Arabidopsis thaliana: one gene and its partners. The protein of the gene in region 4 interacts with the protein of the main gene of each other region in a pairwise test. Each region holds a gene or a part of one and is shown on either strand. Other genes may lie near its edges.

Region 1 (5,170 bases), on a different chromosome or scaffold from region 4:
GGAATGCTTTGTTCAGCGGGTTAGCAATGCACGGGAAAGGTAGAATGGTGATTGACATGTTCCCACAGATGATAAGAGAGGTGAAGCCAGATGACTTAACCTTCACTGCTGTCTTAAGTGCTTGCAGCCACTCGGGGATAGTAGATGAAGGGTGGCGATGTTTCCACAGCCTCCGGTTCTATGGTTTGGAACCTAAGGTTGACCATTATGCATGTATGGTAGATCTTTTGGGCCGAGCTGGTCTTATTGAAGAAGCAGAGATCTTGATGAGGGAAATGCCAGTGCCTCCGAATGAAGTTGTCCTCGGTTCGCTTCTAGGCTCGTGCAGTGTCCATGGAAAGGTGGAGATAGCCGAACGAATTAAAAGAGAGCTTATTCAGATGAGTCCAGGCAACACAGAGTATCAAATACTTATGTCCAACATGTATGTTGCAGAAGGAAGGAGTGACATTGCTGATGGGTTAAGGGGAAGTCTGAGAAAGCGAGGCATCAGAAAAATACCTGGTTTGAGTTCCATTTATGTTAATGACTCAGTACATCGGTTTAGTTCAGGAGATAGATCACATCCGAGAACGAAAGAGATCTACTTGAAGTTGAATGAAGTGATTGAACGGATAAGATCAGCTGGCTACGTCCCTGATGTCTCTGGCCTGGTTTCACATTCGGAGGGTGACTTGGAGGAAAAAGAGCAAGCTTTGTGCTGTCACAGCGAGAAATTGGCTGTCTGTTTCGGGCTTCTGGAAACAAAACCGAGTACACCTCTTCTTGTCTTCAAGAATCTGAGGATATGTCGAGATTGTCATTCGGCTATGAAGATTGTTTCAAAGGTCTATGACCGAGAAATCATCATCAGAGACAGAAATAGATTTCATCAGTTCAAGGGAGGTTCTTGTTCTTGTTCCGATTATTGGTGAACAGATATGAGAATGACAAATTTGCAAAATGAGACAAGGTTGAGACAATGGAGGAAAATTTCATTGAAAATCTATAAACGACTGTACTACAATTCAAATGCATACAGAAGTTGTGTCCTGCAAAAGGTGAAGAAGTAAAGTAAAATGTGTTAATTTTATGAAAAGTTAGGGTGAAATCAAGAAGCAAATTCTCAAAATCTTGATCAAAAAGAGCATCATTCTCTTCTGATCAGTGGGAAGGTCCAGTATCTTCCTTCTCTGAATCATCTTTGTTCCCAGAGTTTGGAGAGTTTTCAGCTGTTACCGTCTCATCATCCTCGTTCTGAAGAAGCGATGAGAATGATAAAGGGTTGTACGTCGAGCTAGCCTTTTGTAACCCTCTTATAGCTCTCATTGCAGCGAGTGTACTCTTATATATATCAAGATTTTCATTGCCGAGAGTTGAGGAAGTCTCAGCTGAGATTCTTGGGGAGTTGTGCTGATGTGAGCTTGAGTGTGCTTGCACTGCGCTAGAAGACTCTACAACTTCCGCTTCTGAAGGAAAAAGAAGCTCAAGATTGGCCTCACATTCACGGACTAACCTAGTAAGTGGCTCTGTAGTAAAGAAGGGTTGATGGAGAACAAGCTGTGTGAAAGGCAAACGTAAAAGTCCACCTGTTCTTTTATCGTACTTCTTCAAAATCTTGACAAGTCCTAGAATGGAAGATGTTTTTAGCATACAGTAGTAATGTGTTACAAAAATTGGTTTTCTAGTTAAAATATATGATTACCTGCAAAATTAAGGGAGCTGTAGTTTTTCAGGAGCACCATCTCGCCATGAATGGTAACAAGGTCTCTCCGAATATCCATCATTTCTTCGCTGAACTCACTTTCTGATGCAAATTCCCCATTCTTTTCTTTAACTTGCTCGATTCTTTCCTTGAGCTCCTGTTTGCAAAATGATGAACACACACTAATCAATTAGAGCTTCATATGTCTATAAACAAGCAGAGCAAGAAGATGACCAAGGCTCATAAACCATACTAATATCTAAGCAATGTGATCTCGATTGTGATATACCACAGAGCAAATAAACCACTGTATCATTACATCAATACAGACAAACTCACTTGAAGCACAGAGAAACTAGATCCAATTTGATTAGAGATCATCACTAGAACTACCTCCGGTTTCAACTACTAGCAATTTTGTTCTAGGATTCGAGATTAATCATCCAATCGAAGATAACCTATGGAATGATTCAATTCTAGAAACTTGTTTAGCTTCTGAATCAGTAATCACATGAACCAAGTTCTAACTTGACCTAAAATCCTGAAGCTAGAATAAATTCGGAAGCAAAAACCTGTAATCTGATAACGAAATCTTCTTCCTTATCAACGTAAAAATCGTTAAACTTCTCAAGTTCATCGTTAAGTATCCTCACAAACGAACCCTGGAGATCTTCCGATGGCCTGACGCCGGGAACCACACCGCCGTCGTCGGCGGCGGAAGAGATGTTAGTAGTATCAGCAAATACTGGACGCGAATCGTTGTGATCGGAATTGGCGGGTCCAAAATCGGCGGAGTAATAAGGATAATATTTGAGAAGCTTTTTTAAAGGTTTATAGCAAAGGAACTTGTCTCTCCACTCTGGTAAAGTTTCTTCGAGGTGAGTACGAAACTCTTTGCCGAATTTCATGTAGAAAAGGCTCTGTGTTGGATCTAAATGGAGAAGACGGAGATTGCGACGGTGCAGAGCTCGTGGATAAGAACGAACGCGAGAGAGAGAGAGAAAAGCGCGAGAGCAAGGAATCTTACAGAGAGAGAGAGATAGAATCTGATGAAGTGGACGTGGATGCTTCTGATTAAATATTGACCATTGATCTTCTTCGTTTTTTTTCTTCATTAACTTGTTAATTTGGATATTTATCGATCAAGAAATTCGGAACAAATATGCATTGGTGGTTAAGTACTAATTGAAATAATGTGGTAAAATTGTTACTTGAAGTAATTATGTAAATGTAGTGAATAATTTGCGGATGTAATTATGTGGAATAATGTTTTGTTTCAATAATAAAATATTAAGATGCTCCAATAGAAAAAGGTTAGATTAAAAGTTAGCTGGACGACATAAATTGGCACAAGCGAATCAATTATCATTAAAATTCATCTAAACAAAGTGATTCTGTTCGTTTTTCTTCGGCATTTGATTATGTTAATTTTAAAAAAATCAGCAAGTTGTGATTATATGCATATACAATATGTCCATGAAGTTCCATGAAATAACATCACAGAATTATAATAGCTTTATCTAAAGTGGCTCTTAACCAGATCGTCAACCTGAGATGAGCCTCTGACGAGCTTGAACGGGCATGCACCTATAATAAAATAGAAAGAACCAAAAAAACTATTGAATAATATTCGTTATATTCCAATAGATTAGATTCGTCTTCCCATATAATGAGATTCCCTTATATTTTACGTATAACTATAAGCGGATCCAGAATTAAATCCACTTATATTCATAGACTATATCACTTTAAACAGTACTTATCACTAAAAACTATACAATTAAATGTTGATGTTATAGTCACGACTCTAAATTCTTATTGGCTAAAGTGTGTGACCAGGGTTTGTTTTTATATATTTAAACATATTTATTCATGCCTCCAACATTTAGGCATCTGTAGTTTCGTTTTTAATAGTAGGAAGAAGAAAAAAGAAGGGAATGAAAAGGTGAGGAACGACTTTAACTACTGCTTTAGCTCAAACGGGACGTTGACAACTTCTTCATATGGTACTATCAAGAGCCTGAATAATGTCAGCCTTTAAGTGCTCAAAGTCTTCAACACAAAAAGTCCAAAACTGAAGCCGAAATCGACGCGCTCATTGTGCGAATGGTAAGAAACTTGAATTTCGCAGTTCGACGACAACCACGCGTGTTACGTTTGGGCTGACTTTTATATTGCCCATTGGGCTACAATAAGCTCAGTTTTTTTCATATTATCCATAGACCCACATAATTCAAAAACGTAGGTCGACAAATGAATATGTCGCCACTGAAGTAATGGTAATTTACACATTGGTAGTTGTTTGAACTTTTAAGCCGTGGTGGAAAGTGTAAGAGAGATCCCGAAATCAAATTCAAACTACATGATTGCTTGGATTGAATCAGACAACAAACCAGAAACGACAATAGCAATTTTTCTTTGATTAACTCAGATACACAAGAAGTTGGAACATGCTTTTTAGGACCAATTTTTTTCTCCCTTTCTTAGATTGTGTCCAATGGGACCAAGTAGAGTAATATAAGGACTCTTGCAAAACGAAGTATATAACGCAAAACCGGGACACTGAGGTCCTTAGTGTTATAGATAATCTGGTTAAGAGGTGAGGTGTATGTGAATGTGAACGGTGTTATTGGATGACAACAAATGGAAAGATGTTCTTGACTCGGGTTTTAAGCCAATGGCAATTATGGCTCCAAAAAGGTCTTAAAACCGTATAATATGCTTTTCAAAAACACATTTGTTCCTTCTTATGCTAAAGGATGAATCATGAAAGAAGAAATCAAACTAACCGGGGAGACATCACCCCCAGCTTTTGGCATCTTATTGTAAAGAAAGAAGAGTGGTTTAATGATGAGCGGTGGCTTCAACCTTCTTCTGTGACATCGATTTGATCTGCAGGTGAAAAAGCAATTTGTTGGTACTTATCTTAGCATATACTACTAATATTCAAGAACATTTCAGGTATAGAGACATCTAAGTTATAAAACATTTCCGGTTTGCAAAGAGATAATCAGTGGAGGAACCAGGATGAGCAAACAACAAGATTGAACAATGTAAACCTTTTTAGAGTTTGCAACATGATGAATGAACCAGAGATTTTGCTCAAGGCATCACATCACTGGCTCAGCTACTCAAAGAGAACAGAGGAGACTAACAACCAAAAACATTTAAAAGCTAGTAACTTCAGAAGCAAAAACCAGAGAAAGACACCACAAAGTGGTGTTTCAACAAAGTCGTTTAAAAATTGCTGACGACTTGTAGAAAAGTAGCATATGATAATCTAAAAGGGATTATAAGATCAAAACTCAGGCATAATCAGTGGACTAGCAGAAACAACAAACTAACAGAAGGAGTAAAGCAGCATTCTGCAATTCACATCTATAGCTCGAGAGCACTGTAAATTCAAACAAAAATTTGCTATCTCACTCTTAACTACGATCAAAATCATAAATTTTCTGATGATAAAATTTGTGTAGCCACCAATTT
Region 2 (6,074 bases), on a different chromosome or scaffold from region 4:
TTATTTGAATATCGAATTATCTTTTTAATCTAAGCTAAACTAAAGTAAATGATTTTACTTGTTTGAGGACATGAATGGGAAGAGAACAAAAATTTGGATTAAGTTCAATTTAACACTAAACAAAGATTCAATTATTAACTTGATCATGAATATGTTGTCCTTTCGTATTCCCGCTTCATTTTCTCTGTTTCTAGGGATTTGCTTTTTCCCTTCTCTGTAGCTACTTTCATTTTCCAGTAGCTAGCTCTTTCTCTCTTCTGGTCGTTTGAAGAAGAAGAAGATTCAAAAGATTTTCTGGGTAAGATTCTTCTTCTTCTTCCGTTGTACATTTTGGTTTAAAGATCCGCTAGTGTTAGTTTCCCCGTTCTTCTTCCGGTGGAGCTTAGAACGAATTTGAGTTTTAGGGTTTCTTTAGAAATCTGTGAAATTTTGTAAATTTGGCAAAGATAAAGAAGCTCTAGTAAAAGCTTGACCGCTGTTTGTGTTGATATCCAGGGTTAGGGTTTCGACGTCATGACTGGAAAATCATCAGCTCGTTCAAACAAATCGGGGAAGAACAAAATCTCGTCGGTGGCTACTCCGACAAGAAGAAATTTGGTTGTTCAGGAGGAGATTTTGGCGACAAAACATGAAATTCTCAAGGAGAATTATGAGAATCTGGAAAAAGATTACAAAAGTATAGAGGAAAGTTTTAAGCAGATGAATGAAATGAACGAGATAATGAAGTTTCAATATCAGAAGCAAATTAAGGAACTCGAGGAGAAAATTCTAAGCTTGCTTAAGGATTTAGAGAAAGAGAGAAGTGAGAAAGAGGAGTATATGAAGGAGATGAAGGGAATGATCAGTGAGAAAGAGGCCATTATCAATGATTTGAGTGTTAAGAATCAGGAGCTTTTGATTGCGAAAGAGGAAGAAGTGGAGAAGCTGAAGAAGATGGAGAACAAGTATGCTGAATTGAAAGAGAGATTTGATGCGGCTGAATCACAATGTTCATTCTTGAAATCGCTTTTTGATGCTGAGAATCTCGCCGGTCTAGGGAGTAGCGATGTGGCTTTCGAAAATGAGGTTATTGTGGTGGAGGATTATAATGTGACTATCAAGAATGAGGTTATTATGGTGGATGATCATAATGTGAATAACACTCCAACAGGTATGTATGTATGTTCTTGATATGTTGGTGAACCTCTCTTGTAAGAAAATTTATTTGAATATTTTCTGTTGTGTGCAGATACGATTGTGATCCTTGACGAGAGTGATGCTGAAAATGATAATCCTCATCCAAGAGAGAGTAACATAATCTCTGAAAATTCTGTTGATGTAAAACAAGAACAACAATCAGCTGGACCAAGCTCATCAAAAGTAAATCGTCTATTGTCATCATCGTCGTCATCATCATCATCATCATCAGTTGAACATGTATTCGTTGAGCTTCCCTTTAAAAGGTCCCGGGATATTTATAACAAGTCTTGAACCTTTCTCGATGCAGTGATCACTGAGCCAGAAGAAGTTGCTCACTCTTAAGTTAAGCTAGTTTAAGGTATATCTTATCGATCCTCCGGTTTATTGTTTTTTGTTTTGTCCCGGAGGTTGTAACATTTTTTGGACGAGATAGATAAAAAAAACGATTAGTATCTGATTAGGTGAATATTTTGGCTGTATGTTTTTTGTAAAATGTTTGGATTACTCGGCTTAATATCAAATCGCATCTAAATCGCTTTGATTCTTGAGTCACTCCTCCATACTTAAAACGCCAATAGCATTGTATAAGCATAATTACTTAATTAGTGATGATTATGAAACAGAGACAATAAAATAAAATAAGTCTTAAATCTAAACGCTTATTTAAATGGATTCTCGGAATAAACAAATTGGCTTTTCTTCCTCATTCTCTACACTCACTGGACTCTCTCTAAAACTTCTTCATCTTCTTCTCTCCAATTCGTACTGAGCAATTTCTTCGATCTTCATCGCGTAAGTTCTCTGTTAATCTCTTTCGGAGGTTTTTTCGTCGATCTCGATCTAGTTTCTTCCGTTCTATTGTAGAATCCTAAGCTAGATTGTTGGGGATGTAATCGTACGGTTTTTAGATTTTGAAATCGGAATCTGCTGCGATGCTTTAGCTAGTGGATTCAATCGCATCGAGTAGAAAACTTAATTCTTAATCTGTTTATGCGTTCATGAGCATCGTTTTAAATTACTGCAGTTTTGATGAACACTGAAATGGAAGAAGACGCAGGGAATGGAGGATTTCGGAAACGCATGAGAGCATCTGTAAGTTTTTTTTGAATTTGTCGTTGATCTGGTGATGATGATTTTGTGGTGGATCAGATTTTTGATTTTGTCCTGTGAAATTTGTTAGGATGAAGAGGGAAAAGGAGATTCGAGAGATGGAATTAGCCTTGATCATACCATTGAGAATGAAGAAGCTGAGACGAAACTTGTTGCTTCTGATGAGATGGAACTTAGCATTGCGCAAATTCTCGATAAGATTGAGAGCTTCACACAAACTGTAAGCTGCTCTTATCATTTCCCTGATTGCTTAAGTTTAGGAAGAATCTGATATTGATTGATGCTTCTTGTGGTAGGTTTCTAACTTGCTGGAAACAGGGAAAACAATGCTCAAGGAACTCAGTAACGAATTCGAAGAACGCTTGATCATGTGAGTTTGAAGAGATTCTATAATGTTTCTGTATGTACCATGATTGAGATGTTTATACACTCACATGTGTAACACTGTTCACATTTATGAAACAGGATACACAAGGAACATGTTGAGAAATGGCAGGACGAGATCAAGGAGTTGCGTTTGCTTGATGCATCAAACGAGGAGACTACTTCCCTCTTACACAACGCTCGCTATCTGATTCAGAATCCTAGCATTGAGCAATGAGGTAAACAGTCTAAAACCCTATCAAGAAGTACTATCAGCCATTACTAAGAATAGATTATCTTCTGTCGTCCAGTGGTGTAAGAAGTCATATATATAACTTTAGATCAACATATGGTTGGTTTGAGAATTTAGATTTCTTCAGTTTCAAAAACTTTATGATGTTTTGAAGGAAACATAGAAATAGCTTATCATGAACCTTTCTCAGCTAATTAAAACCAGAATTGTGTTTGCTTCTTTATTAGATTTTGGAGTGAATATAGAAAATGACTCATATCTCTAGTTCGATCAAAAACCAGTAACTCTTCATTCTCTTTTGCAATTCTTAAATGTTTTTCTCAGTTCTTGTTTCAACTCAATCTCCCAAAAACTCTCATGCTGAACGTAACCCTATCTTTTAAAAAATATTATTATAAAATTGTTTTCTTATAACTATAAATATTATTTTAAATGTGTATGTTTAACTGAAAAAATAGATGAACTGAAGTAGTAACAAAAGTTGAATAGTGGTGAAATTAAATTCTCTGAGGTGATATAGATGGACATGGACTAATCTATATATGAAGTTGTAAACTGTTAATTCAATTAAATTCACTGGGAAGAAAAAGGTATGGCGTTATCATGGGTTCAGGTTTAGGTGTTAGCCAATATAGGAATCTTCTACCGTTGCTCTGTTACAAAACGACAAGACTTAAATGTCGGGTCGTTACCAAACTCACTGGCTCATCTAAATATCTTTAAAACGCTAACGGCCCTGACCTTATTTCCATGCCCCACTTACATTTCAGATAATGCCAAATGGATTTTTCGGTTCAATTTTGGTTTAGTTATCTTTTTTTTCCCCCGGTTTAATTAACTTATAAATTTCACTTGCTAGAATGCAAAGACCAACTCAAAGTTGACCGACGGGGAGAGAAATTTTCATAATAGCTTATAATTATTTTTTATTTTATTGGCAACGACAAAGTTTGAATTATACATTAGGTGGAATGTCCATATCCCCAATTCAACTACCGACTTTGGATATACAGATACCTATTAATATTATAAGTTATCAGAGGCATATCTTTATATAAACAGTTATACATAGGACTTTGATATGTTGGACATATGATTAGCTAAAATAAATTATCAAATTCCAACGGCTAGTTCTCACTTATTTTATATGAAAATAATTTTAGGGATGTTATACTAACGAAACAGAGAAGACGCCACATGGAGTGATTGGACATATATATGCTTTTTTTTTTTTTTTTTTTTTTTCTTAACCACAAAAATTACAGGAAGACTGGTACAAGCTGGCCACCGATAAGGAACCTTTTGGGTTTATCTCCGAAAAAAGTCAATGATTTCAGGCAGATAATACTTAATCCAGTGGACAAAAATTATATACTCTTTCAATCATCGTTCTAGTTCACTGTATGTCAATCCATATAATTTGGGAAATTGCTTTTGTGGTGGATATACACGATCATAGAGCAAAATACAGTCTGCTAATAGCTGTTGCATAAAACGAGTTTTTCCAAAGCATTATTTATGGTTTGTGTCACTAGGTATTATGAGTCAAATATTTTCTTTGTTCATCCATCGGAGATTAACTTAGTAGTGTGGGTGGATCTGAACATAAAATATGATATGGTGTACAAGTACAATGACCAACTAATTTTCATGATTTATCAAATCCAGAAAGTATTAAGTATCGTATATGGTGGCTTGTTAACGAGTATATTTTAAAATGATAAAGGCTGTCTCACTGGTGGACATATTTTGTTCACATGTTTTGTCGGTTGTAGTAATGTAAGCGTGTATTAAAACACACATACTTTATACGGATTATGCAGATGAATTAATTCGATAAACAATTGGTATTTGACGACAAAAAATACGATCTTAAATCTTAATTCGATTAATAACAGATATTTAACGGCAAAAATATAGTGTTATATTTTAACCCGCCTAAAGACAAAAATTAAAGACGAATAAAAACTTTTTATTGCAACAATTTTGTTTTATTAGGTGAAATTAAAGACCAATCTTACCGGATAAAGTTATAAATTAATTTAAAATTTATATGGTCACTGTTTTATCGATCCTCATAACTTGTTCATTAAATTATCTAGTTTCAAAAAAGGTACAAAATCCAATACATTTTCCAGTTTACACGTTATCCATATTTTAAGAAAATTTCAAACATTTTTAGAGAAAACACCAATATACCATGTCAACTATGTATACTATTTTTGAAATGCACCAAATAATAATAAATCTAAAGATACTATACTATAAAAAGAAAAATTAACAAAACAGTGTTTATGAAACTTAAGAAATAAAACTCATCACTAAAAAAAAAAAGTGAAAAGAATAGAGTAAAAGAGAGACGAAGTTGGTAAATTAAGAAGAAGAAAAGGAAAAAAAGAAGAGTAGAATGGGGCCCACAAAAGAGGCCCAATTAAGTGGCATCACGCACAAACACACACCGTCACAAATACTCTTCTTCACACAGCTTTGAATCCATCTGTCTTCTCCTCTCTCTCTCTTCTCCATTTGCAATTATGATAATGTGAAAGCAATTCGAAGAAGAAAAGTTATCTTCGCACCTCAGCAAAGATCCAATCGATTCGATTCTTAAGCTTTTTCGTCTTCTCCGATAAGGTCACTACTTAGAAGCCGCGTTGTGGTTTAGTTGACTCCTCCAGGTTTTATCTTCAAGCTTTTTCGTCTATCAGATCTGGTGTCACTGTCTTCTCATAGGTACGATTCATTCTCTCCCTGATTCAGTATCAATTGGTGAATTTTAGCTCTAGATTTCGAGATCTGTCGTAATTTAGCTACTGAGATCAGTAGATTCAGTTTCCTTGTGGAATAATTTGTTTCTTCTCTGTGAAGGATTACATAGAGATGGGGAAAAAAGCTAAATGGTTTTCAAGTGTTAAGAAAGCATTCAGCCCAGATTCAAAGGTGAAGTTTTTTTTTTTGTATATTGATGTGACTTAATGTTATAGTCTGTATATATTGACATGTTGATGTGTTTTCAGAAGTCGAAGCAAAAATTGGCTGAGGGACAAAATGGTGTTATCTCTAATCCTCCTGTTGTGGATAATGTTAGACAATCTTCTTCTTCTCCTCCTCCTGCTCTTGCTCCTCGTGAAGTGAGAGTAGCTGAAGTGATTGTTGAACGGAACAGGGA
Region 3 (6,385 bases), on a different chromosome or scaffold from region 4:
GACTCGTTTTCAACCCAACTTTGGTTTTAAGTTCTTTTTTAAAGTGTCGATTCTTATAAAGAGCAAAAGATTGTCGTACAAGGCAAATACTTACACTCAAAAGGGTTGAGAGTTTGACTGACTCCTTGGAGATGGAGACACCGTACGTAACATTTCATCTTTTAAAGGAGGGGTTAGGCTGGTTTAGTGTAGGGTGGGTTCAATGTTTCGATTAATTGATTGTTTTAATATAGTTTTCATGTGTACTAATGGGCTAACTTATAACTGGTTATCTTATTGGCTTCCCTATTTTCAATTTTAATAGATTACACCACATGTAAGTTGGTGGTATTAAAACATCACCGTTTGTAAATATTGATGGCAAAAGACGAGCCAAAACAAAACTTTTATAGTAGTAGCTATTATCTACATAGACGACCAACCAATAAGCAGCTCTACATAGTTTTACTATTAGTATTTACTAACCATTGCAAATTCAAAAAAAAAAGAAGGAGAAGATGAAGTTCGCATTAAGGACTCTAGGGGGCTCAATACATGTGGGCTTTTAATTTCATAGTTAATGCCTTCTTCAAATAAGGTATAGGTCCATTATGAGTTATTAGCCCGTAACTTTTCCTAAACAACTATCTAAATTCTTGCTATTGCTAAAGTAATATTTTATCACCGAATAACACTTTTTAAAGCTGTAAGATTAATTTATCAAATGTATGTCACGTGTGAACTGTTTTGTTTTACAATGCTAGATTTACTCTATAAAGTATTGTTAAAACTTAAAACTAAGAAAGCATGTTCATTGTTCCTTGTTTAAGTGTTAAGCTCTCTTCTTTGCACCAACCTTTTTCCTTTTCTTCTTCATGTAATGATTGAAATTCCGTAAGGACGGAGCAAGTTTGATGGCGCACGAGAGATCTTTTTCAGAAGTGAAAAGTGAAAACCCCTGGCGCATGTTAGTAGGGTCCTTTTGATAGAAAAGAAAAAGAGAAGATAGAGAAAAGAGACCCATGCTCAAAAGTATTATCATGCGCCATTTTAAATGGTCCTAAGTCCCATCTCTAACCGATTCTCATCTATCTATCTTTTTCTCACCTTTTTCATATTATATGATTTTTATTCTTTCATTTTCTTTGTAGATTTCTTATCCATATTTTAATAGTTTCGTTATACCATTTCTGTAATTTACTTCAAAATGAAAAATGTGTATAGAGGCAGAATATTAGTTCGAGTACAACATTTAAAAACATACAGATTTTCCTCTATTCTTCACGACTTAGATTTAGCTATTAAAGCAAAAGGGTAACCAATCAATGCAAAGTGCAAACTCATTATTAAAGGAAAATCAACATCCAAATAGTATCACATGGACATATGAATATTCAATGTCATAAACGATTATATTGGAAAGAAAGAAAAAATGAAAACGATAAGAGAGAGGGAGAGATCTCTCACAGATCAGTCCAAATGAGTTTAATCACATAATTATCAAACTTCCGAGCACTTCGAAACTAATGATTGACATTATGATTTCCTACTTAACTTTATTATTCTAAAACTTTAGTATATTAGTCCAAGTTGAACTCTTCAGCAAATATATCTTATATAATTAATTGTTCTCATATTGTTTAATATAACGTTAGTATAAACAAAGACTACATCAACTTCGCATTCGCACTATAGAAACAGGATACTATTTGTATATATCAACTAAACTTTTGTGATATTTTCTCTCATCTACTAAGATATACTAGTATAACTTTTTTCCTAAGGGGGTATATGAAGATAAGATAATTACTTTTTCTTCTTCTTAGCTACATGGGTCGAAACTGGTCTTGGAATGTTGAGTAACCAGAATCTCAGAAGCAGCCCATAATTTGGTAGCTTCGCTGGAGTTGGTTCCGAGTCCAGACGGTGTCGTTTCATTACAATCCGTAAAATACTTTCCCGATACGTTCACCAGTCTTGGATTTGTTGCCACGTAACACGTCGTTGCTGCTGCCTAATCCCATGCCAAAACAAAAAAAAAGTAGCACATAAATCCAATAATCTTAAACAGGATTAAAAACAAAAAGAATAACTTATCCACCACAGATTATGTTACAAACTTTATAACTAACGAAAATAACAATTATTTACTTGAGGGACGGTCTTAACGAGCTTGGAAGCCAGGAAGAAGACGAGATCTGAGTAGGTAAAGACAAAAGGAAGTCATATAGATATAATTTGGAATCTTAATCATGATCATATAATTCATGATAAAATAATATGACAAGGTAATGAGGAAAAAAAAAAATAAACCAACCTGTCAATAGACCTTCTCGGTCTCTTGTTAACCGGGTTCTAACAACTCCTGGGTGTACGCAATTTACCGTAACATTCGCTCCAATTTTCTGCAATTTTGTTTTCTTTTACAATTAGATTCTATTTTTATATACTAAACTTTAATCACTTTATGCTAATGACCCACATGATTGTCCTAAATCCTAACTATGGTCAATAGTCAAAAATAAACTTTGTAGTGTGTGACTTAACTAACACTTTCATATATTTGGTTAGAATACAAATCTCCTAGTTATCTAGGTTTCTTGTTGTCCCCTTCCCATACCTTTCACTCTTTTCTTTTACACTAAGAAAAATCAATAAATTTGACCATTATGACACACATTAATTTCTACCATAATGCTTCAGAGTTTTTTTTGGGAATAATTAACTTTTGGGGGAATAATTAAATGGATGCAAGTAAATAAGAGAGATAGGTGTGGGAGAGAAAGAGACCTGGAGTCTAGAAGAGAGCTCCTTGGTATGCAAAACGTTGGCAAGCTTCGAGAGAGCATACGCACGTGTCGCATCGAATTGACTAATCGATCAAAACCAAAAAGAAAGATTTATTACATTTTCCAAAGGTCAAAAGTCAAAACCTTTTTACTTCTCTTTTCCCATTTATTACCCTCCTATCGAGTTACTGTCACTCATCAATCAAAACATTAACAACTACGCAGCTTTTTGCTTTGGTAAAAAGTAAATTCCTCGACAAGTTTTTATTCACCTCTCAAGAACACCAATCCTACTCTCTCATTTATAGTTCTAGGCTTCTAGCTATTAGGTTGATATAAGGATTGTAGATGGTACATTATTTACACTTCTGCTTTGGAGTTTTGATGTATAGATAACAATTAAGTATGGAATGAAACATTTATACCTCATGACTCAACCAGAACATAACACAAACTTACCACTTGGGTTGTGAAATGAGTCGGAGATATTCGATCAAGTCGCCGGAGAACCATCCGTGAATACCGGACGTAACGTTAACGATACGTCCTTGAACTCCTGTTTCCTCTGCCGTTTGAATCATCTTGTTTAGCAAAAGATTGGTCAAGAGAAAATGGCCTGATCATTGTGAATGGATTAAAAAATTAAGAAGGCTATTAACAATAAAGTAATACTAGTATATAGGGTAATTAAGATCTGTCATAGACTAAGGGAATCGTATAATTAGGAAAATACTACTATACCTAGATAATTAGTAGCAAATGTCATCTCGATCCCGTCTTCAGATATTGCATGTTCATGTGCTAACTTGCCTGCGTTGTTTCTGATTCCACAATTGCATAAATAATAAAATAATCACATAACATAACAATAATGTTTAAAACAAATTAATCCGAATTAAGAACTTAGATTAACACGTAGTTATGTAAATATACATGCATATGATTCTTAGGAAAAAAAGAAGATTAAAGACTTACATGAGAAGGTTAAGAGGAAGATCAAGAGACTCGAAATCGGCGACGAAGTTTCGTACGGAGGCGATAGAACTAAGATCAAGCTTCATAACGACGATCTCTGTCTCCGGAAACTCAGAAACGATTCTCTCTTTTGCTTCCTCCGCTGCTTTCACATTCCTCGCCGGAAAAATCAACCTCGCTCCTCGTTTCGCCAGAACTCTCGCCGTCTCCGCTCCGATCCCCGACGTCGCACCTATCACCAAATCAACTAGTTAGAATCTCCTGACGACTCGACTCACCGGAAAACACGAAGCAGAGAGGAAAAGAACTCACCGGTGATAACCGCTGTGATGGAACGAAGGTCGCAGTTCTCGGTAACTTCCTCGGCGGTGGATTTAGAGCCGAAACCGCTAGCACCGGCGGCGCCGAGAAGGTATTTACCAGTCTCGATCATCGGAGTGATTCTGTTACCGGCGACTGTTATGGGAGTGAAGAGTCTTTCTCTTTCCGAATTAATATGAAAAAAATTAAAGCCACAAAAAAGAAACAGAAGGAGAAGGAAGAAAACAAATAACAAGGAACGTAATTGCCGTTTTCAGTTAGAAGGGCATAATGGTAAATGTCTATATTATTATCAGAAAAACTGTGTTTCGATTGTCAGGTTTTTGTAGGCAACGCCGCCTGGCGAGAGAGAAGAAATAGTAATGTGTTATTTATAGTCAACTTTTTAATTGATGAGGTAAAAAGAGAGAAAAGTAGATACAACTTTTTTATCAATACGATCGGTGAATTTTTTTAAAATTAAATTTATCATATTCTTCTTGTACTCTCTTCTTGTTTTAAATCATTTCGTAGTGGTAGGTCTAGTTGTTGTATACAGTATAATATTTTTATTATGATATTATTGTCAACAATATTCATTCTTGTTTAAAACCTACTAGAGAGGTTAGCAAAAGATGCTGCATTACGATGAAACATAAAATACTAGGGAAACAATGTATACAGAAAAAAAAACACAAGTTTGTCTTAAAGAATTTTAGATTTAATCTTTACAAAGAATACATGTGTTAAATATAGACTGATTTTTTCCTTATTTTTGGACAAAGTTAAGCTGATTTTGGAATGGTAAACTCAATTTCAAAACAAGTTATCCAAAAATAACTAAATATTTATCCAGTGTTAATTTCTTTGACAAGATTTTGTTTGGATTTTTTCACTTTTGATATATAAAGGCAATATAAATAATAATTAAACAAATATTGGAAAAAATCTAAACTATTCAACATATCGATGGTGTAGAGGGAAAGAAATCATCAACTTTTGGTATGGATTGATTTTGGTATATCTATATTTAGAGAGCTATCATGTGCCTTTTGGTAATTATCACTTAAATGACTTATTGGATTGATGAATAATTTATGAAGCTATTTTGGTCAAACCTAATTGATTACTATTGAGTATTCAAACTAACTAACAGCTGTCAGTCTCTGGTTGGAGCTTAAAGTGAGATTATTTTATATTTTATGATTGATTTTTTACTAACGTACCCAATACTGAGCTTATTAACGTTTAGTTTTGTACAGTGGAAACAGATCAAAACACGGAAAAGATTATCGTCAAATGCAAGATATTAACGGTCAAAAGGGCTAAGGTTTGACTACTTGTAGGGGACAATTATACAATCGTGACGTATTAGTTGTATACTTAGTGTCACTCATTATCTCATTATTCTTTCCTCATTTACTAATCCTAATTTTTTTTAAATACTTGTATTTCCTATATCAATCTCGGAATAAGCGCGGTCTTGGGACTACCGTAGACAATATAAAGTAAGTACATGGAGACAACGAGTAGTTAGAGCAGTAAACGTGAAAACGGCAGGAGAGGCAATGTGGTATGTGGATGAATAAGGAAGTAATTAGTCTCGTAGAAACGTTAAAGAAGAATCTTGTGAGAAGGTTTACGCACGTGAGGTTTACTCACCGCGTGCTGGATCGCTTCTCCTCTCCCTTGGAACACGGTCATAGACAAAAAAATATATTTAATTTGTTTACTAATTAGTTTGGTTATTATTTGCTAATGATCAATTATTTTTCAATAATTCAGTCTCCGTAACATCCAATACCGTTTTTAAGTCATATTGTTATAAGTTTTTGTAAGGATTCAGCCAATGATTATATATGCTTGAAATTTTGTTGAACATATAAAGCTCACATGCATCTCTCACGGATGAACATATTTACTATACAAAAAAATCAAATCAAATATCAATAAGAGAAGGACAGAGAGTTTTACAAGTATGAAATTGATAAAAATAATAAAAATAAAATTCTGTTAAATTGTAGAAGGAGAACGAAATTAATATATTCAGTTTATCACATATTCACATGTCGTTTATATCCCCAAATTCACACAAAAAATCTCATTCTTTACAAACTTTGAACACATTCAAAAACCATGATGCTTATGTGAAGCTTTCTTTATCTCTCTTGTTTGGCACATCTGAGAGCTTCATGTGTGTTCCCTTTCATACAAACGACAATAGATGATTGGGGATGCAAAGCTTCTCTCCCTCCTTGCCTTTTTCGTATTGTCCTTGTTGTGTCTTGAGTACAAGATTCCAGCTCATTGTCACGTTGGTAGCTCGATTACGCTTATCCAAA
Region 4 (5,165 bases):
AAAGAGCCAATTTGCATTTGATGATTCAGTCCCCAGCACTCCACTCTCAAGATTCGGGAACTCTCCACCTCGGTTCAGCGATGCATCAGCTAGAGATAATAACTTTGATAGCTTCTCCAGGTTCGACTCCTTCAACACCAGTGAAGCAGGCGCCGGGTTTTCTTCGCAGCCCGAGAGACTGTCTCGGTTTGATTCCATCAACAGCTCCAAAGACTTTGGTGGAGCTGCCTTCTCTAGGTTCGATTCAATTAACAGTTCCAGAGACGTCACTGGAGCTGAGAAATTTTCGAGGTTTGATTCCATCAACAGTAGCAAAGACTTTGGTGGTCCCTCGCTATCAAGATTCGACTCTATGAATAGTACAAAGGATTTCAGTGGTAGCCATGGATACTCGTTTGATGATGCAGACCCGTTTGGTTCCACAGGTCCCTTTAAAGTCTCTTCGGATGAAAGCCCTACGAAAAGGTCAGATAACTGGAACTCCTTCTAGCCTCGGTTACTATCGTTCCCTTTTATAATCCTTTTTCCTCGCTTGATGAACTTGTGCTTGTTTCATAATTATAATTTTTTCACCAAATTCTGGTTTTGGATGAGACACTAGCGTTAGTCTATTTGTAATTTGTAAAGTTTGTCTCTGTATTGGTTTCCTACTGTATCTCTGTTATGTTATGAATTCATTTGCTTTATATGAAAGAAATATTTGAGGATTTCGTCGTGGATAAGAGATTAAAGGACAATGAAATGATTTTATTTTTCTCCATTTTTACTGTTTCTCTTCTCCAAAATGTTTTATTATTTTGATATATCCTTAGCTCGAGGTCTTGTAAGAACTTCTGGTAACATTTAACCAAATCAAAACAGATACACTTGAAGGTGGTAGCTACAAAATTGAAAATCGAGCTAATGCATTGGTACATTCTAACCCTCTGACTCGAAGAAGATATGATTTTCGCAGCATCAAACTGCTATGATCAATGTAACATCAGTCTTTGAGGTTGGCTCCATTCTGTTTCCGTTGAATCCACTGAGCACATTTCAGGATCAGTTGTTACCAAGGAACTTCACTTCTCTGTGATCCGCTCAAAGGCAGATATCATCGATGCACGCATGTTGGCTATTTCCACCAGAGTTTCAAGAGCTGTCCAAAGACGAGAGAAAAAAGAGTTTCAGTTGTAAACTGGAATCTTCCTTTGAGTATACTTGTGGTGATGAGGATGTTACCTGTTTCAAATGATTGTTGAGCGCCACGCAGCTTAGGAGAGACTAGACCTCCAAATACTGACAGAGATTTTGCCCGTTCTTTCTTTATCTGGAGCTCAACACATTCGAATTAGTAAAACCATCGTCCTACATTTTGAAAACAAGTAGAGTTTCTGCAGACGGTTAAATGATTGCTCACCTCTTCATCAGCTGCTAAAACGGTTTCATCCTTGGCTGATGGTTTCTCTTCTATCGAATTACATAAAGCAAGAGATGATGAAACACCGACAAACAAAGGGCAGAGAATAACCAACAGATGAGTCTTTTTTTACCAGAAACTCCTCGATGTCGTAGCTGTGGGCTGAGAGGTGAGCCTATCTCCGAATCTGTATCAGTAGAGAAGTCTTTGCCTTTCCTGCTACCGCCCTTGGAAGCCCACTTGGACAAAGCAAAATGAGGTACTGATCCCAAAGATTCAACTACAAGAGTCCATAGACATACACTGTATATAAGTTGCTTCCCCGCAAAAAAAACATAAATTCATAGCATATAAACGTAAACCATTGAACTATCAAACGCCCAAAGCATAAGCCAAACTTACCATCTTGGTCAGTCACTTGCAATGTTGAAGAAGCGGGATGATACTTAAGATCTAAGAGAGTGCTGTTGATGCGTAAAGTTCCCATAGAATGTCGAGCACTAGCTAGATCAAACCATCCCTGCAAAAATAACACATTTCAGTTCCATACCAAATAAGTTAATTAAGGCAGCAGACTCTCACTCTCATCATATCAGTGATATGAATCCACAAAAAAGTTTCTCCTCATGGCTACTATAGCTAGATAATCAACGAAAACGTTTCCCACGCAATCCTTTTTAATCCCAGATTCAATTCAATTCAACACAGAATATCTCAAGTCATCTATACATCAGAACATAAGAATCATTCCCATAAGATCCCATTTTAGCTCAATACACCAAATATCATTCCAATTACCTCTCGAAGCTTAGAATTCACAGAATCCATAAGCGTTAAATATCCATCCAACGAATCTAGAAACTGCAAAACATTCTCATCTCCTCCCCCTTTTCCCAGCTCAGTTTTCACTTCTGATTCTTTATTCACATCCACTGATTCATCTCCTTCCTCGTAAATCTCCGCCATCGAAATTTAGCTCCAACACACGCGAATCAACAAATCGAAGCTTACACGAGGAAGACAACGTAAAGCGATCGAAACAGAGACAGATCAATTTCTCGAGTAAACGAGGCTATTTTCGTAATATTTCAATTAGTAAAGGCCCAATAGCCCAAGTAGAAGACAACGTAAAGCGATCGAAACAAAGACGGATCAAACGAGGCTATTTTCGTAATATCCAATTAATAAAGGCCCATTAATACCAATAGCCCAAGTCGAAAGATTACCTCTTTCGGGTCAAACCGGTTATGTTTATGGGTGGGTGGGTAGAGCAAGTCGAGTGTGTGTGAACACAGCGCCAGGCTGTTTGTCTCAGTTTGTCAAGTTGGCGTTTGGTGGCTCCACGTCTCTCTCTATCTCTCTCTCTCACATGACTTTTCGATTTTAGTCAACCTTTCGTGCTTTTCTCTTAAAAATTCGATTTTTTCTTCAACCCATCTTCTTCTCTGTTATTTCCTCTCGCTTTTACCTGTCTCTCTCGTTCTCGCACGGGGATAGAATCAACTCTGCTCGAGATTTTAGTAGGAGGCAAGCTCGATTGCTTGCAATTAGATCCATGGATGAAGAAGAACTCACACTTTCTCGCGCGTTTTTAGCTCAAGGAGATTTTTGAAGAAGTGGTCGTTTTCGAATTGTCAACTTCAGAAGAAGAATCAACTTTGGTTTTTTCTTTTCCCTTCTCTGTATAGCTTTGAGGAGGCGCTTCTTCAACTGGAACAGGCTGGTGTGCTTTTTTTTTTATCTCTTTTGGTATTTTTGAAATGCTTCATGAGACGTTGTTTCTCTTCTTTATCTTTTTGACGAATATTGCTAAATTTGGTAATCTTGCTATATAAGGGTTCATGGGAGTGATGATTTTGGGACACTGTTACTTTTCGTATTTTAGGTTATAGTTATGATTGAAAGTTTGAATTTTGTTTCCTTGGCTGTGAAAGAATCCGGGAACCAAACTGTGGTACTATCCCTTTTTGTGTTTCCAAAACTTTCTCATTCATTTACTATCAAATTTCGACACTTTCTTACCAGACTCTCTTGCATTGATGTATCCAAGTGGGTTTTCATCTAGGATCCTATGTTTCATAACAATGAGGTATTTGCTTGTACATTTGCAGTGAGTTTGAAGGATTAAGATGGTTGGAAGCTCGGATGGTGACCAGTCAGATGATAGCTCTCATTTTGAGCGAGGAGTAGATCATATCTATGAAGCATTCATCTGCCCATTGACAAAGGAGGTTATGCATGATCCTGTCACTTTAGAGAATGGTCGAACATTCGAGCGTGAAGCCATTGAGAAATGGTTCAAGGAGTGTCGGGACAGTGGGAGACCTCCTTCTTGCCCTTTGACATCTCAGGAGCTGACTAGCACTGATGTAAGCGCCAGCATAGCTCTGCGTAACACTATCGAAGAGTGGAGATCCAGGAATGATGCTGCCAAGCTTGACATTGCTCGTCAGTCACTGTTTTTAGGGAATGCTGAGACAGATATTTTGCAAGCTTTGATGCATGTGCGACAGATTTGCAGGACCATCCGATCAAATAGGCATGGTGTACGCAACTCTCAGCTTATCCATATGATCATCGACATGTTAAAAAGTACTAGCCATAGAGTGCGGTATAAGGCTCTACAAACTCTGCAAGTTGTCGTTGAAGGAGATGATGAGAGCAAGGTTGAATCTGATTTCTTTTCATCTCTGCTGAATATTTAGTGTAGCATTTTAATGGGAAATTGAGCGGGTGCTAATTAAATTTTCAGCATCTTGCAGGCGATAGTAGCTGAAGGGGACACTGTGCGTACACTAGTTAAGTTCTTATCACATGAGCCATCAAAGGGGAGGGAGGCAGCTGTTTCCTTGCTGTTTGAGCTCTCTAAATCAGAAGCTTTGTGCGAGAAGATTGGTTCCATTCATGGAGCACTAATATTATTGGTTGGTCTGACAAGCAGCAACTCAGAAAATGTTTCAATTGTTGAGAAAGCTGATAGAACCTTGGAAAATATGGAGAGGTCAGAGGAAATTGTTAGGCAGATGGCTTCATATGGTAGACTCCAGCCTCTTCTAGGCAAACTCCTTGAAGGTGAAAGAATTTCTTTTCTTTGTTTGGTTTTAATATAACAATTACGCTCTCTACTTCATTTGCATAAAACAAGTTATCATCTTCCTTCAGTTGGTAAAATTCTTCCTTCAGTTGTTCGGATGCATCACAGTGTTATGGTATTCTGCCTTAGAATTTGTTTGCTCTAGGAATTTTACATGTTCGCTTGTAAGAAGAGTCAATTTTCTTCTACCCAGATGGTCAAATCTTTCATTATTTTCCTCTGTTATATGGCAAATTTCTTGTATGAATAATGACACCACATGTGAAATCTGCAGGTTCACCTGAAACAAAACTCTCTATGGCTTCCTTTCTCGGGGAGCTTCCCTTAAATAACGATGTGAAGGTTCTTGTGGCTCAGACTGTGGGTTCTTCTCTTGTCGATCTTATGAGAAGTGGTGACATGCCCCAACGGGAAGCTGCCTTGAAAGCTCTTAACAAAATCTCATCGTTCGAAGGGAGTGCTAAGGTCTTGATCAGCAAAGGAATTCTCCCCCCACTTATCAAAGATCTGTTTTATGTGGGGCCAAACAACCTTCCAATTCGGTTGAAAGAAGTCTCTGCCACTATTCTTGCTAACATAGTGAACATCGGGTATGACTTTGACAAAGCCACTCTTGTTTCAGAGAACAGAGTGGAGAATCTGCTCCATCTAATTAGCAACACAGGTCCAGCG

The links.
Region 1: the proteins of AT1G20770 (region 4) and SPX4 interact in a two-hybrid assay, tested with the Arabidopsis thaliana proteins (one large-scale study listed by BioGRID).
Region 2: the proteins of AT1G20770 (region 4) and AT5G03050 interact in a two-hybrid assay, tested with the Arabidopsis thaliana proteins (one large-scale study listed by BioGRID).
Region 3: the proteins of AT1G20770 (region 4) and AT4G24050 interact in a two-hybrid assay, tested with the Arabidopsis thaliana proteins (one large-scale study listed by BioGRID).

What each region holds. Positions count from the first base shown.
Region 1 is NC_003076.8:4,978,017-4,983,186, reverse strand, and holds SPX4 (SPX domain-containing protein 4), read right to left. Parts: upstream 2,814-5,170; 5' UTR 2,800-2,813; coding exon 2,257-2,799; intron 1,842-2,256; coding exon 1,685-1,841; intron 1,608-1,684; coding exon 1,144-1,607; 3' UTR 956-1,143; downstream 1-955. Other genes in the region: AT5G15340 (Pentatricopeptide repeat (PPR) superfamily protein), read left to right, coding at 1-914; AT5G15320 (ATP synthase E chain), read right to left, coding at 4,529-4,576.
Region 2 is NC_003076.8:712,118-718,191, reverse strand, and holds AT5G03050 (knotted 1-binding protein), read left to right. Parts: upstream 1-1,844; 5' UTR 1,845-1,971; intron 1,972-2,203; 5' UTR 2,204-2,208; coding exon 2,209-2,271; intron 2,272-2,359; coding exon 2,360-2,509; intron 2,510-2,585; coding exon 2,586-2,659; intron 2,660-2,754; coding exon 2,755-2,890; 3' UTR 2,891-2,891; exon of another isoform or gene 2,892-4,149; intron 4,150-4,170; 3' UTR 4,171-4,965; downstream 4,966-6,074. Other genes in the region: AT5G03060 (striatin-like protein), read left to right, coding at 514-1,150, 1,229-1,470; iqd2 (IQ-domain 2), read left to right, coding at 5,786-5,845, 5,923-6,074.
Region 3 is NC_003075.7:12,495,078-12,501,462, reverse strand, and holds AT4G24050 (NAD(P)-binding Rossmann-fold superfamily protein), read right to left. Parts: upstream 4,409-6,385; 5' UTR 4,177-4,408; coding exon 4,056-4,176; intron 3,976-4,055; coding exon 3,744-3,975; intron 3,590-3,743; coding exon 3,510-3,589; intron 3,385-3,509; coding exon 3,228-3,384; intron 2,852-3,227; coding exon 2,770-2,851; intron 2,385-2,769; coding exon 2,297-2,384; intron 2,178-2,296; coding exon 2,131-2,177; coding exon of another isoform or gene 2,107-2,130; exon of another isoform or gene 1,994-2,106; coding exon 1,802-1,993; 3' UTR 1,137-1,801; downstream 1-1,136.
Region 4 is NC_003070.9:7,214,284-7,219,448, forward strand, and holds AT1G20770 (coiled-coil protein), read right to left. Parts: upstream 2,615-5,165; 5' UTR 2,366-2,614; coding exon 2,198-2,365; intron 1,920-2,197; coding exon 1,802-1,919; intron 1,680-1,801; coding exon 1,533-1,679; coding exon of another isoform or gene 1,450-1,532; coding exon 1,400-1,449; intron 1,310-1,399; coding exon 1,222-1,309; intron 1,139-1,221; coding exon 1,062-1,138; 3' UTR 732-1,061; downstream 1-731. Other genes in the region: AT1G20760 (Calcium-binding EF hand family protein), read left to right, coding at 1-490; SAUL1 (senescence-associated E3 ubiquitin ligase 1), read left to right, coding at 3,529-4,065, 4,162-4,471, 4,768-5,165.